2 linked regions of the Lonchura striata genome follow. The protein of the gene in region 2 interacts with the protein of the main gene of each other region in a pairwise test. Links are inferred from orthologs where the notes say so. Each region holds a gene or a part of one and is shown on either strand. Other genes may lie near its edges.

The links.
Region 1: the proteins of MYPN (region 2) and ANKRD1 interact in a two-hybrid assay, tested with the Homo sapiens proteins (2 studies listed by BioGRID). The link is inferred for Lonchura striata from reciprocal best matches to the Homo sapiens genes MYPN and ANKRD1.

Annotation. Positions count from the first base shown.
Region 1 is NC_134609.1:16,243,647-16,251,136, forward strand, and holds the start of ANKRD1 (ankyrin repeat domain-containing protein 1), read right to left. Parts: upstream 3,065-7,490; 5' UTR 3,017-3,064; coding exon 2,987-3,016; intron 1,735-2,986; coding exon 1,555-1,734; intron 296-1,554; coding exon 158-295; intron 69-157; coding exon 1-68. UniProt on the Homo sapiens protein: May play an important role in endothelial cell activation. May act as a nuclear transcription factor that negatively regulates the expression of cardiac genes. Induction seems to be correlated with apoptotic cell death in hepatoma cells.
Region 2 is NC_134609.1:35,268,763-35,276,556, forward strand, and holds the start of MYPN (myopalladin), read right to left. Parts: upstream 3,037-7,794; 5' UTR 2,806-3,036; intron 1-2,805. UniProt on the Homo sapiens protein: Component of the sarcomere that tethers together nebulin (skeletal muscle) and nebulette (cardiac muscle) to alpha-actinin, at the Z lines.

The sequences.
Region 1 (7,490 bases), about 19 Mb from region 2:
TTTTCAATTACTGGCAACTTATTCTCCAGTGCAGCTTTGAAGAATGTGGGAATATCCACGGGTCCTGTCTGAAGGAAAGAATATAGAGAACATAAATGTGTGTGGCACAAACCCTGATTAATACTTTCCCAGAATAAGCTACTTGGAAGTAACTTACAATAACTTCTGGTTCAGGTTTCTTTAAAACAGGCACTTTCACTTTCTTGCATCTTTTCTTCTTCTTCAGCTCAATAATTTTTTCAAGATCCTCCAAATTTTCAAGTTTTGACCTGGCCTCTAATTTCTTCTTCTTCAGCTGGAACAAATCAGGGAAAACAGCAAGTTGAGCTGTGTGACCACCTCTCCCTTTCAGAGTGCCAGGACAGCAATGTGATACTATTCAGCTGAATTCAACTAAGACTGGATGAACTTAGAAATAAATAGTTTAATTTTTTTTTCAGATAGGGTTTCTCTAGACCTGCTTATAAAAAGCATCTGGGCATGAAATCAGTGTGGGGTACTGCTGACACCAAGGGCAGGTGTGTTGCCTGAACTGAGCTGCCATTAGGTGTTCTTGGCTTCAGGACAGTCACAAATGGGTTAACTCAGGGTGAATACAGATGACAGATTCTGTCCCATTGTGTGATTAAGGGTGAATACACTGGTGACACCCTGTCAGATGGTATATCGTTTTGTCAACTGAATTCTTACTCAAGTTATTTCCACCTTTTCTTTTTATTGTTCTCTGCATGTGTGGTTTGGTCTGCAGGTCATTGGTCTAATAGAAAATAATTATGTTGAAGTTTAAGAAGTAGTTTTTATTCTAGTGTTTCTGAGACTGACTTTCTTCCTCTTCATGTTTTAGAAAAAATCTTATTTCCCCTGCTACTTAAAGTTGATAATTTCCAAATCACTTTAAATTTTTAGGCCAGTTGATTGCTTATTCATTAAAAAAAAAAAGATATTACAGCTACTGTGTTATGTGTTATTGGGGGGAAAGAACATCAGTACTTAAGGATCTAGGGAGAATTGTCATGCTCCAGGAATTGAAATTAGTACTTTTCTGTAGACTAGTATGAGTTTCATTTGTAGCTGTTCTTCCCAAATGTGCTAGTAAATGTAATGCCTTGTTTTCATAAAAAGAACATTTTCATGTTAATTAAGGCTTCTGGCTTCAGAAATGCACTCTTACATCTTTTGTGGGTTAGTGATTTTTGGTAGCAGTCATTAGGTGTGCAAGCTGAAGGTGTCTCCCTGGCTCTGACTGCTCCCCCTGCACTGACAGCTAGCAGCAGCTGAGCCTGGGCAGAGGAGGTCTCAGGGGTTCAGGCAGGCAGTATGGGGTGGTTTAGGTTCTGCCTCAATGTGTTACTGCCTGCACCCACAGGCTACAGAGGTGAGCACACCTCCGTGGTCTCCAGTGGGCTTTAGACCAGCCTTCTTTCATGGTAGTTTCCCAAGGGTTTTTCTAGCTCACCATGTATTTCTAACTTAGAGAGTGGCAGAACTTCAAGGACTGCAGCAGGAAATGCATACATGATGATAAAAATCCAAGCAGAAAACCCAAGAGCCTACCTCTGCATCGAGTTTTCTCTCCTTCTCATAAGCCAGATCACCTCGGGCCAGTGAGTGCTCAGGGATTGTCTTTAGGTCCTCCTGCTTCTCTAATCTTACTGCAGCTTCGTACTCTCCGTTTTTGAAGTCCTCAGGGAGGAAGCTGCCAGTCTCTTTATCATCCACCTTCTTCCCAGTCACCTGTAAAGGCAAACATGATATAATATAATCCATGCATTCCTGACTGCAGCAGCCACCACCTGGAAACATGGATTGCCTCGGCTGATTGCAGCTCATTCCTGCCCTCTCTCAGTGTGTGACAGCCAGGACAGGCCGTTCTGCCTGTGCTTGGTTAGCTGGGGATGCAGCTGGTTGGGACATATCTCCCATGCACTTAAATCGGGTTGCTGAGGGATTTCAAGGCTGGTTTTATCCATTGCTGTCAGTACCAAAGTCCCACTCATAGCAGAATGGCAGAAGCTATGTGGTGCTGTGCAGCAGCACAGCTTTCAATAGTTTTCAGAAATATTTCTGATGCCAATTAAGTGTGTATGAAGAGATGACTTGTTAAACTTAGTAGAGGCAGATGTGTATTTTGAGAGTGGTTCATGTGGCCTAGACTTTCTGTTTGATTTTATTTGTTTAGAGTCTAATGCAGAAGAAACTGTGAGAACCTTGCCAAAGATTTTAAGACAGCATTAATTACTTAGGCAGCTGTATCTTAAGCAAACCATCTGGGAAAATAAGTGCAGTGTTTTACTGAATCTTTCCCATTTTCCCAGTTTCTCCATCAGATCAGACATTCTTAGTCTGAATCCTGCAGTGGAATGTCCCATTATTTGTGGTCTAGACCTAATTTTTCAAAGACTTTTACATCATGAACAGAGGTGGCTGTAGGAACGGTTAGTTTATTATTAGAAAACAATACTATTATTAAGCTGCTAATTTAGTGTTATAAAATACTGTAGTTTCCAAGCACTATTATGTTGTCCCAGTCACTTGTTATATAGGAATTACTTTGTGAGATCATAAAATTACTGGCTTCTAAAAATATATATGAATTAAAACCAAGGACAGAGTCAAATAAATAGCTACATTTTGGTTGATCTTTGCCTGGTAAACTATGCTGTGATGCCAAATCCAAACAGCTGTATAGTTATATCTGTGATGAGACCCTTTCCCAAAGAAAACTTAAAATTATAATATAATATAATATAATATAATATAATATAATATAATATAATATAATATAATATAATATAATATAATATAATATAATATAATATAATATAATATAATATAATATAATATACATTATATGAGGGTTTGCACCTAGACCACAGCAGTCTAACTTGCTAAATCAGTGATCCACAAAGGTCTTCTTTCTGTGCCTGGTCCAATGGCAGTCTAGAAAATAATGAATTGTGAGTAAATGAAGGAAGGTTGCACCTACCAGCTCTTCTACTTTCATCATCATCGTCATATTTGCTGGTGATCGAAGGCTGTGCTCCTGTATGGCTGGAACCTCCCAGGGCTCAGGCCAGCTCTGCAGGAACCACCACGCTCACTGCACTTATATATCTTTGGGAGAACTGTGCTTGAATGAGATAATCTTCCAACCTGGGAATCCGAGTATGCCCCTTGTGCTTGCCAGCTGAGAGGTGGCTCAGGCTCATTCCAGACACGTTAATGAGCCAGATCTGGTGTCGAGGCAGCGAGGGGCGTCAGCTGGGCCAGGAAGGGGGAGAGCCCCACAGCCCCACCACAGTATGGGAATCAGAATGAAATGTGAGCTCATCATTCCTTTGGCAATGACTGCACTGCTCAGCAATGCCAGACATTCTGTGCTCCCAGTGCCCACTAGGACAGCTGTGTGTTGATGCAGCATTATAACTTCATCTTCTTCTTTCTTTTTTTTTTTTTTAATTGACATTCAGATGTCTGTAAGACACTGTAAAGGGTAAATGGCTTATGTACAATGCTTATAGCAATATCTTCCTGCTAAATGGACTATTACCTCTGAAGTCTCAAAAAGCCATTATTTTCATTGCTATTTATTCTTGGATGATAAACACTTTTAGGGGAAAGGCTTTTTCTCATCATGATGACAGTCTTCTATATTTGTTGGAAGGAATTCTCTGAAGGGATTACTATACCAGAATGATGTCTCTGGTGCTAAAAGGGCCTATGACATGATGAGCTACAATCAGTGTAAGATATCAAAACAGTAAGATTTGCATTTTTTTGGACCCTTGTCAATTATTATAAGCCAAATAATGAATTATGTTTATGCAAAGAAAAAAAAAGATGAAGGGGGGAAAACGTAATACTGTTTTCTCGGGCAATATTTTCCTTCTGGATATGGAGAGAATAGACGTCCAGAAGTGATTGTTTATTTTTTAGGATAAGATGAGATACAGACGGATATATGCAGATGATGTGTGTGTTTTGGGGGAAAAGGGCTATTGAATCCTTTGGGAAAGCTTTTCTTATGCTATGAATCAAAGCAGTCTGGAATCAGGAGAATGATCACCAGCAGAAAGCAGCTTTATAGGAGGAAGAGGCACTAATCTTTGCATTCAAAGAGTGTGAGTAAATGCCAAGACACATCGGTTCTGCGACAGTGCAATGCCTGGAAGTGCTGTCCGGTGAGGCACGCAGGTCACCTGGCTGAAATGAATACAGCAGCTCAGGTGCTCCAAGCACAACATGTACACAAGTGCTTCACCAAATGGAGACCTAGCTCGGGTGTTGTTTATACCATCAGCATCATTAGCATGCTGCATTCCTGACACTGACCTTTCAAGGTGTCTCTCCTCTGAACTATCCCCCAGTAATCCGAGTACATCCAAACTTGTCTTCTGGTGCCCATCATACCTATGCCCTCCCTTTCCCTGAAATGAAGCTGGACATCAGGTGGTTCCTTTACCACTCAGAATATATATGACATTAGAGAATGAGTCCCAGAACTAAAATAGAGTATGTGCTAGCAACACAACCTTTCAGAACATTTTTTTCTAAACTTAAGTACAGCAACGCTATCATTACCCCCCAGTGGTATGTTCTGAATCTCACTGCCAGGCTTTTTTTCACTGCAGTTTTGTACTCCTGGTAAATGTCTCTGTGACAAGAGGCAGCTCTGGCATTTTCTTGTGTTCTAACAGTTTACCTCAATCTGATCAGTTCTCTGATTTTTACTTGGGAGATTGTCTTGAAATCCACAACTCTAACAGGATGGCTGGATAGAATGCTTCCTGTTTAGTGAAAACAGATGACAGCAGAGACCTGATGCAGAAAAAAAATGTAGAGGTTTGCTTTTAGAACAGAAATTGTTTAAGGAACTGTGAACTTCCTCTGGACTCATTTTTTTGAAGCTTACTTTTCCCTTTTTTTGCTTGCCTTCTTTTTCTTTTTTTTTTAACAGCCTGAGATATAAAACTGACTCAGCAAATGTGGAAGCTTCCTTAATGTGGAAGCTTTAAGGGGATAGATCTTCCTTTGCAAATGGTACATAAATCCAGAGCTAGAGTAGCTTTACAGGAAACCTCAGTGCTCTGAGGGGAAACAGAAACCAATTCTCACAAGTGCTGCCAAAACACCACTGTTTATTCATCTTTAAAGCAACCCATCCATGATGACTAAAAGAATAATAAAAAATAGAATATTCCTTGATTATCCAAACTTTCTATTTTGAAATAGTGGCACCCAGAAACCCACTTTAACCAAAGCCTGGGATCTAAATTAACCTAACAGTAATTGCTTTTAAGCTAAATGTCATGTAAACAAAGGCAACACGATTGAAATAGCAGAAATGCACCAGTTTGTATCAGCTAAGACTCTTGGCTTATCACTATTGCTTCATATTGGAGGGGGAAGTAGTATAATGAGCTTGTAACCTTGTACTGGACAGTAACCACTCAATCACCTTTCATCAAGTGATTTCTCGTTAAGGTGGTAATAGCAGATGGTCAGTGGGTGATGTGTAACAGGAATCTAAAAAACTCTTGCCACTCCACTGAAGGATAAGGGCAGAGAAATCATCTGCAAGGTGTGAGGCAACTGGATATTGTCACAAAACTCCTCCACAGAGAAAACACGAAAGGACAGTAGGCTCATCATGACAGGCAGAGAACTGTGGCACACCCTGTTCCCTGCTACCAAAATTGAACTGACAAGAGTAAAGAATGTTTGTCATTAATTTCTCTAAGTGATTAATGCTAGTGTGAAAGTATCATGTATGATAAAAATGTTATTGCCACCTCCTGTCAAGTGTGCCACGGTCGTGTGTTCAGTGGTGTCACTGCTCATCTGTCTTGCATTTTCCAGCACTCTGCCCTTGGCTCTGTCCATGCACCCATAGGTGCTGCCCTTGGATGCCACTGTGCCTGGCTGCCTGTTGTCCTTTCCCTGCTGCTAAGTAAGTAAGGTATGAGAAAATCACTTGCTGAGGAGTGCTTATGCACCTAAGAGGTTATTGAGCCAGCAAACTGTTCCATATGTGTGCAAAGATAAATTCTTAACCAAGGTACACAGAAGCAGCAACCACAGGTTACTCCTCCTGGTTTAGTGATATGTTAGTGTGCAATGGCTTGTTTATTTTGCAGTGTGTGTGTGCACCCAGCACACTTTATATATCCACATGAAACAGCAGTATGTAACTGCATATTGCAAGAAATGCATTTATTTTCTCATCTTTCTTTTAGCTGTTTTTTTTTCATAAAAGGCAGGAAACACTTTTATTTGTCTAACATATTCTCTTCAATACTTTTGTCAAGAAGTTAACTGATTTGGGAATAAGTTAACTATGATTTTACATCATTGTTTGGACACGTGATGAAAATACTAAACGATGTTGAACCAGGAACTGATCCATGTGGGAATCTGCTAGAAATAGTTCCTCTCATTACTCTCACCACTTTGCAATCTGTCAGTGAGCCAACTTTTAGTTCTTCCAAAGTGCATCCTTTTAATTCCATACAATGCATGCTTTTTAATCATACCAACATATGCAATAAAATGAAATGCCTTTGGCAAGACCCAAGTAAACTGCATTAACGTGAATGCTACTCTCAAACAGACCTTTAATTCTGCAAAAAGACACTTTTTAAAAAAGGTTTTCTTTGCACCTAGCCCTACAGATTGGCATCCATTTCGTGTAACTTGTCTGATTCTGTCTTGATAAAGCTTTGGTTAGCTCTTCGCCCTGTTTTCCCAGAACTAAGTCATGTCAGTCAGCCTGTTGTTAACTCTTTCATAATTTTCAGCCGGTCAAAACATCTTGGGAGCTAAAAAAAAAATGAAAAGGAGCTTCTCTGCTTTCCTGGCACTGAAGCTGGCCTATGATATCTTTGGATGCAGCCCAAGTGGATGCTCTACCTGAGGGAGATTCCTGCTCCTTGTGAATAAAAAGGAGCTCAGGGAATCAAGGTGATAAAGAATTGGATGGATTTTGCTTTAAAATACAGGAATGTTTTCACAAAGCATTGATTTTGTAATCTCTTAGCAAAACAGTAGTGTGTCACAACTCTCTTATAAGATGTGCACTCAGGCAGCCTCTCTCTTTCTCATTTATTGGAGTCATATCCACTATAATGTTATAAATAGCTTGAGAATAATTTTAAAATCACTATTACCTGGAAAAATAACCCTTTTCTTTTTTAATTTTGGGAAGAGAGGGTTTATTGGTTTGGGTTTTGTTTTTGCTTTTAACAGTTTGCAATTAAAATGTAAATGTGTAAATCTGCTTCACATTAAATTTGCTGAAAAGCTATTTCTTCCCTTTCATGAAGTTTCATTGGCAGTAAGATATCACTGGATTTTTATCCAAGCTCTGTTTAACAAATATCTCCTTTGATTCCAATAATACCAGTGAGGGTGCAAATTTACAATTACATTATATCATATGTTGGTCATCCTCTTTGGGCTGGAGGATAGATACTTCCTTGGCTGCAAATAGG
Region 2 (7,794 bases):
TTTGTACTCTCATATAATGAAAAGACGTTTGATTTTTCACTCTTATCACAGAAAGTCTTCCTTATTCCATAATTAATATTGTCCCTTAGTAGTTCTCAAAATGAGAACTGAGACTCTTTATCCCATGTTTCAAGTTCCTTTTTCCTCCTCAGTGGATCTCCTTGAACTGCAAAGCAAACAATATCTTGAAGAAACAACTTCTCATTGAAACAAATACATTTTCATCTGATTTTTAAATTAAAAGTTTGGAAAGAAAGGCAGGTGATGGCTGTCTTTGAGGCCTGTCTGGGATGGTTCTCCATCCTCCTCTCCCAAAGACCTGTGCAGCCAAGCCTCAAGTATCCGGGTAAGTTATGAGGGAACTTCAAGTGCTCACAATGTAGGACAATTCAAGTATTTTATATAGTCCTCTTTCCTTCAAGGATTGCCCAAATGAGAAAAAGTTCATATGAAAGGCCAAAACAGCTGCAGCAGAGATCCAACAATTTGATGCTGAATGTACATATGGAAGTCCTCAATGAAAATATAATTAACAGGCAACAATATTCATTTATCCTGGTTCAAACACACGCACACCACTCTGCTAGACTGCAAATCCTTTTCCATGGATTGTGAGCCAAATGATCTAAACTCAGCCATTTCTGTGAGTCCTGCTGGCAGTGTGTGGGAGCAGTGCACAAATCCACACATGCACGTGGCTGAGGATTTCAGCTTGGGACTGAAACTACAGCTGAGCTCTCAGTGCTCAGAGGTGCTGCACAGCTGAGCCTGGACTGACAAATGACAGCCCTGCATTGGCACTGTAATGAGAATTTGCACAACTCAACGTGCTGAGCAGAAGTCTCTGTTCTCCCCCTGTGTGTGAGGGCACCAGTGTCAGGGACTCCCACACGAGTGCTGGTGACTGCAGCACTGCCAGCTTGTGCAGCCAGACTCAGCAAGTGCAGGCTGAAAAAGCAGGGCTGTGCAAACCACATGGCATTTGTCTGGAAATTTCAAATCCGTGGGCTGGTTGGATTTAAAATGAGATTCAGTTTTCCTACAAATACAGGTTCCCAGTGGAAAAGGGAACTTAAGTGTTAAATTAGACACAAAAAAAGGCTGGATTGTGTTTTTCTCCTCAGATTTTTCAGTTGGACCTTTCTTTTTTCATGGTCTCACTGTATTTCTTTTTATACACTCATCTGTCTTTTTTTAATGTTTTTTTCAACGGTCTTCCCTAAGAACATTGTAACATAAAAGCCCTCATATTTTAATCATATTTTCAAACTTGCAATGTTTAAATGAGACTTATATTCGACAGGAATAATTTGCCCATTCCTGTACAATATTCCTGTTTATGAAAACAAGCACTAAGCCACTTATGTTTTAAACAGAAAAGTAAACTGATCCTTATTTCTTTCCCCCCTCATCCTGTGGTTTAGATTACAATTGAGGTTGCATTGCCCAATTACCTTTATGGTATTGTGTACATTTTTGACAAATTATCTTAATGTTGTGTTTATGTGCAAATATGCCTAGACTACTAATTGTTACTGGCTTTGGATAAAAAAAATTCCTTTCGTATCACAGCAAGACCTGCTGCAAAGTCTCTGAAGAATGCACAGAAATAAAAACCAGCACAGATCACACAGTTCCCCTTTGTGCTTGTTACTCTGCCATGTCCAAGACCTTTAATATCTCCTGAATTGACTATAAATATTCTTTGATATGTAAAACATTATTCTGCTCAGCTACAGGAACTACCACTCTATTGCTGTTAAATTTTGTTAGCTATTTCTGAAAGTAAAAAAACCACAAACTTAAAGACACACAAAAACAAAGAAATATCCTGACCTTAGGAACCTTCAGGAGGTGTAGGAGAGGGAGAAGAGCAGAGTTGAAGTTTATGAAATTGTTCCATTAACGCTTGCTGATTTTGTTTTCACTCTTAAACTCTAGAGCATCTTCACAAATGGAAACCTCATGACCGAAACAAAACTGCTGATAAAGTAATCAGTGTCTTTAGCATGATTTGTATAATGTTCTATTAATGTATGCTCAGGAACTACTCTGTTCTCTTGTCAATTGTTGATGTATTATTTGGTAACTTAACGTGGGCTTCTGATTACTGCTTAATGTTGCAATATATTGAGCCAAACATTTGCTACTGACAGTCAAATACTTTTCTGAGAGAGAGAAAGAGAGCAAAGGAGATAGTGAGCTCAAGGGTGAGAGCTATGCCCTTCTAGCAGGACTGTTTCTGCAGCTGTTGTGTACATTAATCCGGAGAGCAGATCTCCCTGCACTAAATATAGCCACGGGGGTCATTTTACATGACAGGATAAATAATTAAATAAATAGAAAGCATTTAACTATGGGGGTCACATTAAATTAGGTTTGATTTTGCTTAAGAAGGACTTCCAAATGACGGCATGTTGGTTTTAAGTCTGAATACAATAATGTATATATTTCACTCCTCCATTATTTCATGAAGGAAAGATGAACAGGAAGAGGAAAGAGTCCCAGCAAGGAACTTTTCAGGTCATTAGAATCTTGTTGACTCTTTAGAGGAGTCAGACTGGCTCCAAGGGATTTTGAGAACCCCACCAATGCTATTCAGGTCCTTTATAATGCCGCAGAACACCGTTTCTCTTTCACTGCAATGCACATACCTCAGCATAATCTAAGTCAGTTTAAAAACATATTTGTTCCCTGTATATGCCTTACCAGCTATAATTAGCATTCAAATATACATGCTTGTCAAACCCTTCTGCTACACTCTGCAAAATCAAAAGGTAGACTAATCTGAAACGGAGGGATTACCTTTTTTAATTCCTCCAGATGTTGCTGCCCAACCTGGCAGTGAGTAGCGCTGAGAGTTATCCAGAAGTGTGAGGTTAAAGTAAGGAAGCGAGGGGATTCTTCGAGTCCTCAGGAACAGAAACAGCTAGGAGTCCATGGAGTGAGGGAAGTTAACCTTCGTTATTGTGAGGATGGCTGTAAGGAGCTGGACAACCTGTCACCACCGGAGCAATAGCATTTGTCAGTTTGCAGGTCCCGAGTTATTTTGAGCAGCGTAAACCATGTGCCCGCGGAGCATTCCACCTCATTGGACAGGGAATCCGCTGCTCCCGCAGCACCTATGGGCACCCGATGCCTTCTCCTCGCTCATGCAGTGGCCCCTATAGATGCATATGTGGGTTTTGCTGATTCATCCAAGAGCCTCTGGAGCGGCATTGTATCACTCTTGGCAGCTGCTTTGCATTTCAGCCTTTTCAAATTACTATTTTTCGCTCTTTCATTAAGTTTCCATCAGAACCTGAAGGTTTCGGTCACAGGGAAACCCATCAGATGGTAACGTCAGTTTTGCAACCCTAAAGGCAAACTTGGGAAAATGTATTATTTAAATAGTAAAATATTCCTGACTTTGATGGAGTGTTCGGTTTAATAAACACAGTGAAACAGTGCAGAAATCCTTCAGGATGACCTGTAACTACAGAATCCTCAAAAACCTAGAACTTCTACATTTGTTATTGAATGCACAGAAATGAACTGTTGGAGGAAAAGCAATTAAAAGAGGTAATTGAAACTAAGCTGTAAATAAAACTGAGAAAGAAACATAGGTGGAACAACTTCAATGCACTTGAACCACTACACAGAGAAACCCTGTTACTATATAGAATTTCATTGCTTAAAACCTTGACTTGGCCAAAACCTACCACATCTGTGTAACACAGAGATGAGATTTTCATTGCTACTCTTCCTACACTCCAGCAACAAAAATTGGTCTGTAATTTTAAACAGTTCATCATGCTGCTTGATTGTTGATATTTTATTAAAAATGCTTGCCACAATTCTGATTTTTTAGATTACTAAAATATTATGTATTTATGATGGGGAATTGATATATAAGCCTTCTCATAGCTAATGATGTAAGAGCTGGCTTCTTAACCTTCTCCCAGGTCTCTCAAAATATTATCAAGTGAGCACCTGTGCTAGAAAAGGAGTTCATCTGTGGAATGTAGTTCTTCAGAAAGTTATTTTATGAGTTGCAACAGTATGAAAAGTCAGAGGCAAAGGCAATTCTTTCACGTAAAATTTCCTGATGCATTACAGATACTTTTATGTTTTTTCCCTCTCTTTGTAAAATATTATCATGGTTTAACCCCAGCTGGTAACAAATCCTTACACAGCTGCTCACTCCCAACCCCTGGCAGGATGGTGGAGAGAATTGGAAGAGTTAAAGTGAGGGAACTTATGGACTCAGATAAAGGCAGTTTAATAAATGAAACAAAAGTTGTGCACACAAGCAAATAAAAGCACAGATTTCACATAGAATCACAGAATAAGCTGAGTTGGAAGGGACCCATAAAGATCATCAAGTCCAACTCCTGATCCTGGTCAGGACCATCCCCAAGAGTCATGTGCCTGAGAGAATTGTCCAAACACTTCTTGAGGTCCGTCAGGCTTGGGGCTCTGACCACTTCCCTGGGGATCCTGTTCCAGTGCCCATCTTCCCTCTGAGTCAAGAACCTTTTTCTAAAATCCAGCCTAATCCTCCCCTGCCACAGCTTCAGGCCTTTAGCCCAAGTCCTGTCACTGGTCACCAGAGAGGAAAGATGGTTGCCCTGTTCCAGGTGTAGAATCCAGCCCTTTCCCCTGTTGAACTTCGTGTGGTTGATGATTGCTCAGTCCTCTGATCTGTTGAGGTCTCTCTGCAAGGTCTCCCTGCCTTCAACAGGGTCAGCAGCCCCTCCCAGTTTTGTATCATCTGTAAACTTGCTCAGTGTCCCTTCCAGTCCTGTGTCCAAGTCATTTATGAAGATGTTGAAGAACACAGGCCTTAGGATGGAGCCATGTGGAACCCTGCTAATGACAGGTCACCAGTCTGATGTCTGCCCCATTCACCGTCACCCTTTGCACCAGACCCGTGAGCCAGTTGTTCACTCATCCCATAATGTGTTTGTGGGATGTGCCTTTTGTCCAGAAGGATCTTGGGAGAGACAGTATCAAAAGTTCAGATTCAGATTTACTGAAATCCAGAAAGATTACATCAACAGGCTTCCCTTGATCAACTTGGTGGGCTGCTTTGTCCTACAAGGAAGCCAGATTTGATAAGCAGGACTCCTCTCTCATGAGGCTGTGCTGGCTGTGACCAATGACTGCATTTTTTTCAGGTGTTTTTCAATGCCTCCCAGAATAATCTTCTCCATAACACTGCCAGGCACTGAAGTGACACTGACAGGTTTAATTTCCAGGATCCTCTTTCTTGCCCTTCTTGAAAACTGGGACAACATTTTCCAGCTTCTAGTTACCTGGGATTCCCAACACGGCTCATAAATCATAGAGAGAGGTTTTGCAATGACATCATCAGTTCTTTGTGGAATCTTGGATGGGGCCCATCAGGCCCCATGGATTTGTAGGGATTCAACTGGAGCAGGAGATCCTGCACAGTTTCAGGGTCAGCTGAGAATTGATAATTTTTTCAGTCATGGTCCTCTAGCTTGAGGCACTGAGACCCCCTCGGTCTGTCATCCATGTTGAAGGCAGAGGCAATGAATGTGTTAAACAGCTCTGCCTTGTCCATGTCCCTGTTCATGAGGTGACCATCTTCATCCTGGAACGGGCTGATGTTATTTCTACACTTCCTCCTGCCATTATTACATTTGAAAAAACTCCTTTTTATTGTTCCCTACAGTTCTGTCAGCTTCAACTCTAGCTGAGCTTTGGCCTCATGAATTTTATCCCTACAGCTGCAAGCAACATATCTGTATTCTTCCCATGTCTCCTGGCCTTGCTTCCACTGGCCATACACTTTCCTTTCTTGCCTTATTTCCAAGAGATGATTTCTGTTCAGCCAATCTGGCCTTCTTCCTCACCAGCCTAGTTTCCAACATTTGGGAGTTGCTGCTCCTGTGCACTTAGGAGGTGTTTAAAAAGCAACCAGCACTGGCTGATCCCAGCATCTGCAAAAATACATTCCCAGGGGACCTTGCTGACTAACTCCCTGAGCAGCCTGCAATCTGCTCTCCTCATGCCTAGGGTTGAAGTTCTGCTGGCACTTTTCCTCCTGTCAACAGAGATTTTAAACTCAATCACTTCATGGTCACTATGGCCATGACAGCCCCAGTCCCCACTTTGCTCACAAGATCCTCTCTGTTGACAAGCAGCAGGTCAGTGAGGGGATCTTTCTGAGTCGGCTCCCTTAGGACCTGTTCCATGAAGCTGTCATCTGGAATTTTTAGGAATTCTCTGGCCCAGGTTGTACCAGTTAATTTCTGGAAGTATAAGTCTCCCATAAGGACGCAAGCAGTTGATTTGAAAGCATCAAAGATGCTCAAAGAAAAGTTTGTCAGTGTCATTGTCCTGCATAGGAGGTCTGTGGCAGACTCCCACGATGACATCTGTGTTACTTGTTTGCCTCTTGATTTTATCCAGAGGCTCTCAACTGTGCCCTTGCCAGCTGGGAGCTCCATGCATTCTAACCCTTCTATTCCATACAGTGCCACCCCTCTGTCTCTTCTGCTCTGCCTCTCCCACCTGTAGAGTGTGTAACCATCCAACAGGGAATTCCTGGCACAAGACTCATCACACCAGGTTTCACTTATACAATGATGTCAAGCTCTGGGACTGGGCCAAAGCCTGGAGCTGCTCTTGTTTGTTCCTGGTGCTGTGTGCATTAGTGTAGGAACATTTTAGGTGTGGTACTTTGTAGGCAAACTTTGTGAAGCAGATTGAGGGATCTGTAAGTGCTCGTTTCCTCCTTGTGGCGCAGCGTCCCATCCCTCGGCACTGGTGAGCCTGGTTATGTCTCTTTCCCTCTTCCAAGCTGGTTTAAAGCTCTGTCAATGAGCTTGCTAGCTCCTGTGCTAGAGCACCTTTTCTGCTCTGATTGATGTACCCAGTCAGGTGGCAGAGTAGTACAGCTGCTGAGGAGATCTTCCCATGGTCAAAAACCCCCACATTTTTCCACTGAGACCAACCTCGGAGCCATGCATTGGCCTGATGGATCTGACTATTCCTATTTCATTCCCCACTTCCCATGGCTGGGCAGGTGTTCATCAGGAGAGCAGGGGCCCATCCCATGCAAAGGTGACATGGGAAGACAAAACCCCAGGGCTCTGAATGTCCCTGGAATGTTCTTCTCCTCCCCCCAGCTCTGTGTGCTGAGCATGGCCCCACATGGTTGGGATATCCCTTGGGATATCCCTTGGGGTCAGCTGTCCTGGCTGTGTCCCCTCCCAGCTCCTCACTGGTGGGTTGTGTGAGGCAGAGGAGGCCTTGGCTCTGTGTGAGCTCTGCTCAGCAATGCCCAAAACATCCCTGTGCTACCAGCACTGCTTCCAGCACAGATCCAAAGCACAGCTACTGTGGAAGAAACCTTAATTCTACCCCAGCAAAAACCAGCACAAATACCATTGTCAGAATCCATTATGAGCATGAGTTTGTGGTGAAGGTATGGAAAGATTGTGTGGTGAAGTCAGCCCTTCTCTTGGGCACAGGTGAGGCATTTTATGGGTTGGGTGGTGTATGATGTAAGGTTATATCTGAAATAGAGATCTAAGATATTCTTTATAGTATCTGTAACAGTAGATGTGGCCATACAGTGCTGGCAGGAACTGCCTGTTGATACTGTACCCCATGCTGCTGTGGTTTGGACAGTGTCCGTAGATGCTTAGGCTACAAAGTCTGCAGCCTGAAAATTAAGTCTGATGTGTCTGGTAATAATTGTAAATCTATGGGGAGTTCTGCTGAGATGCAATTATTTACCATGGAGTTTTGCTGGTGGTGTGCTATTTGTGAACTGCTGTT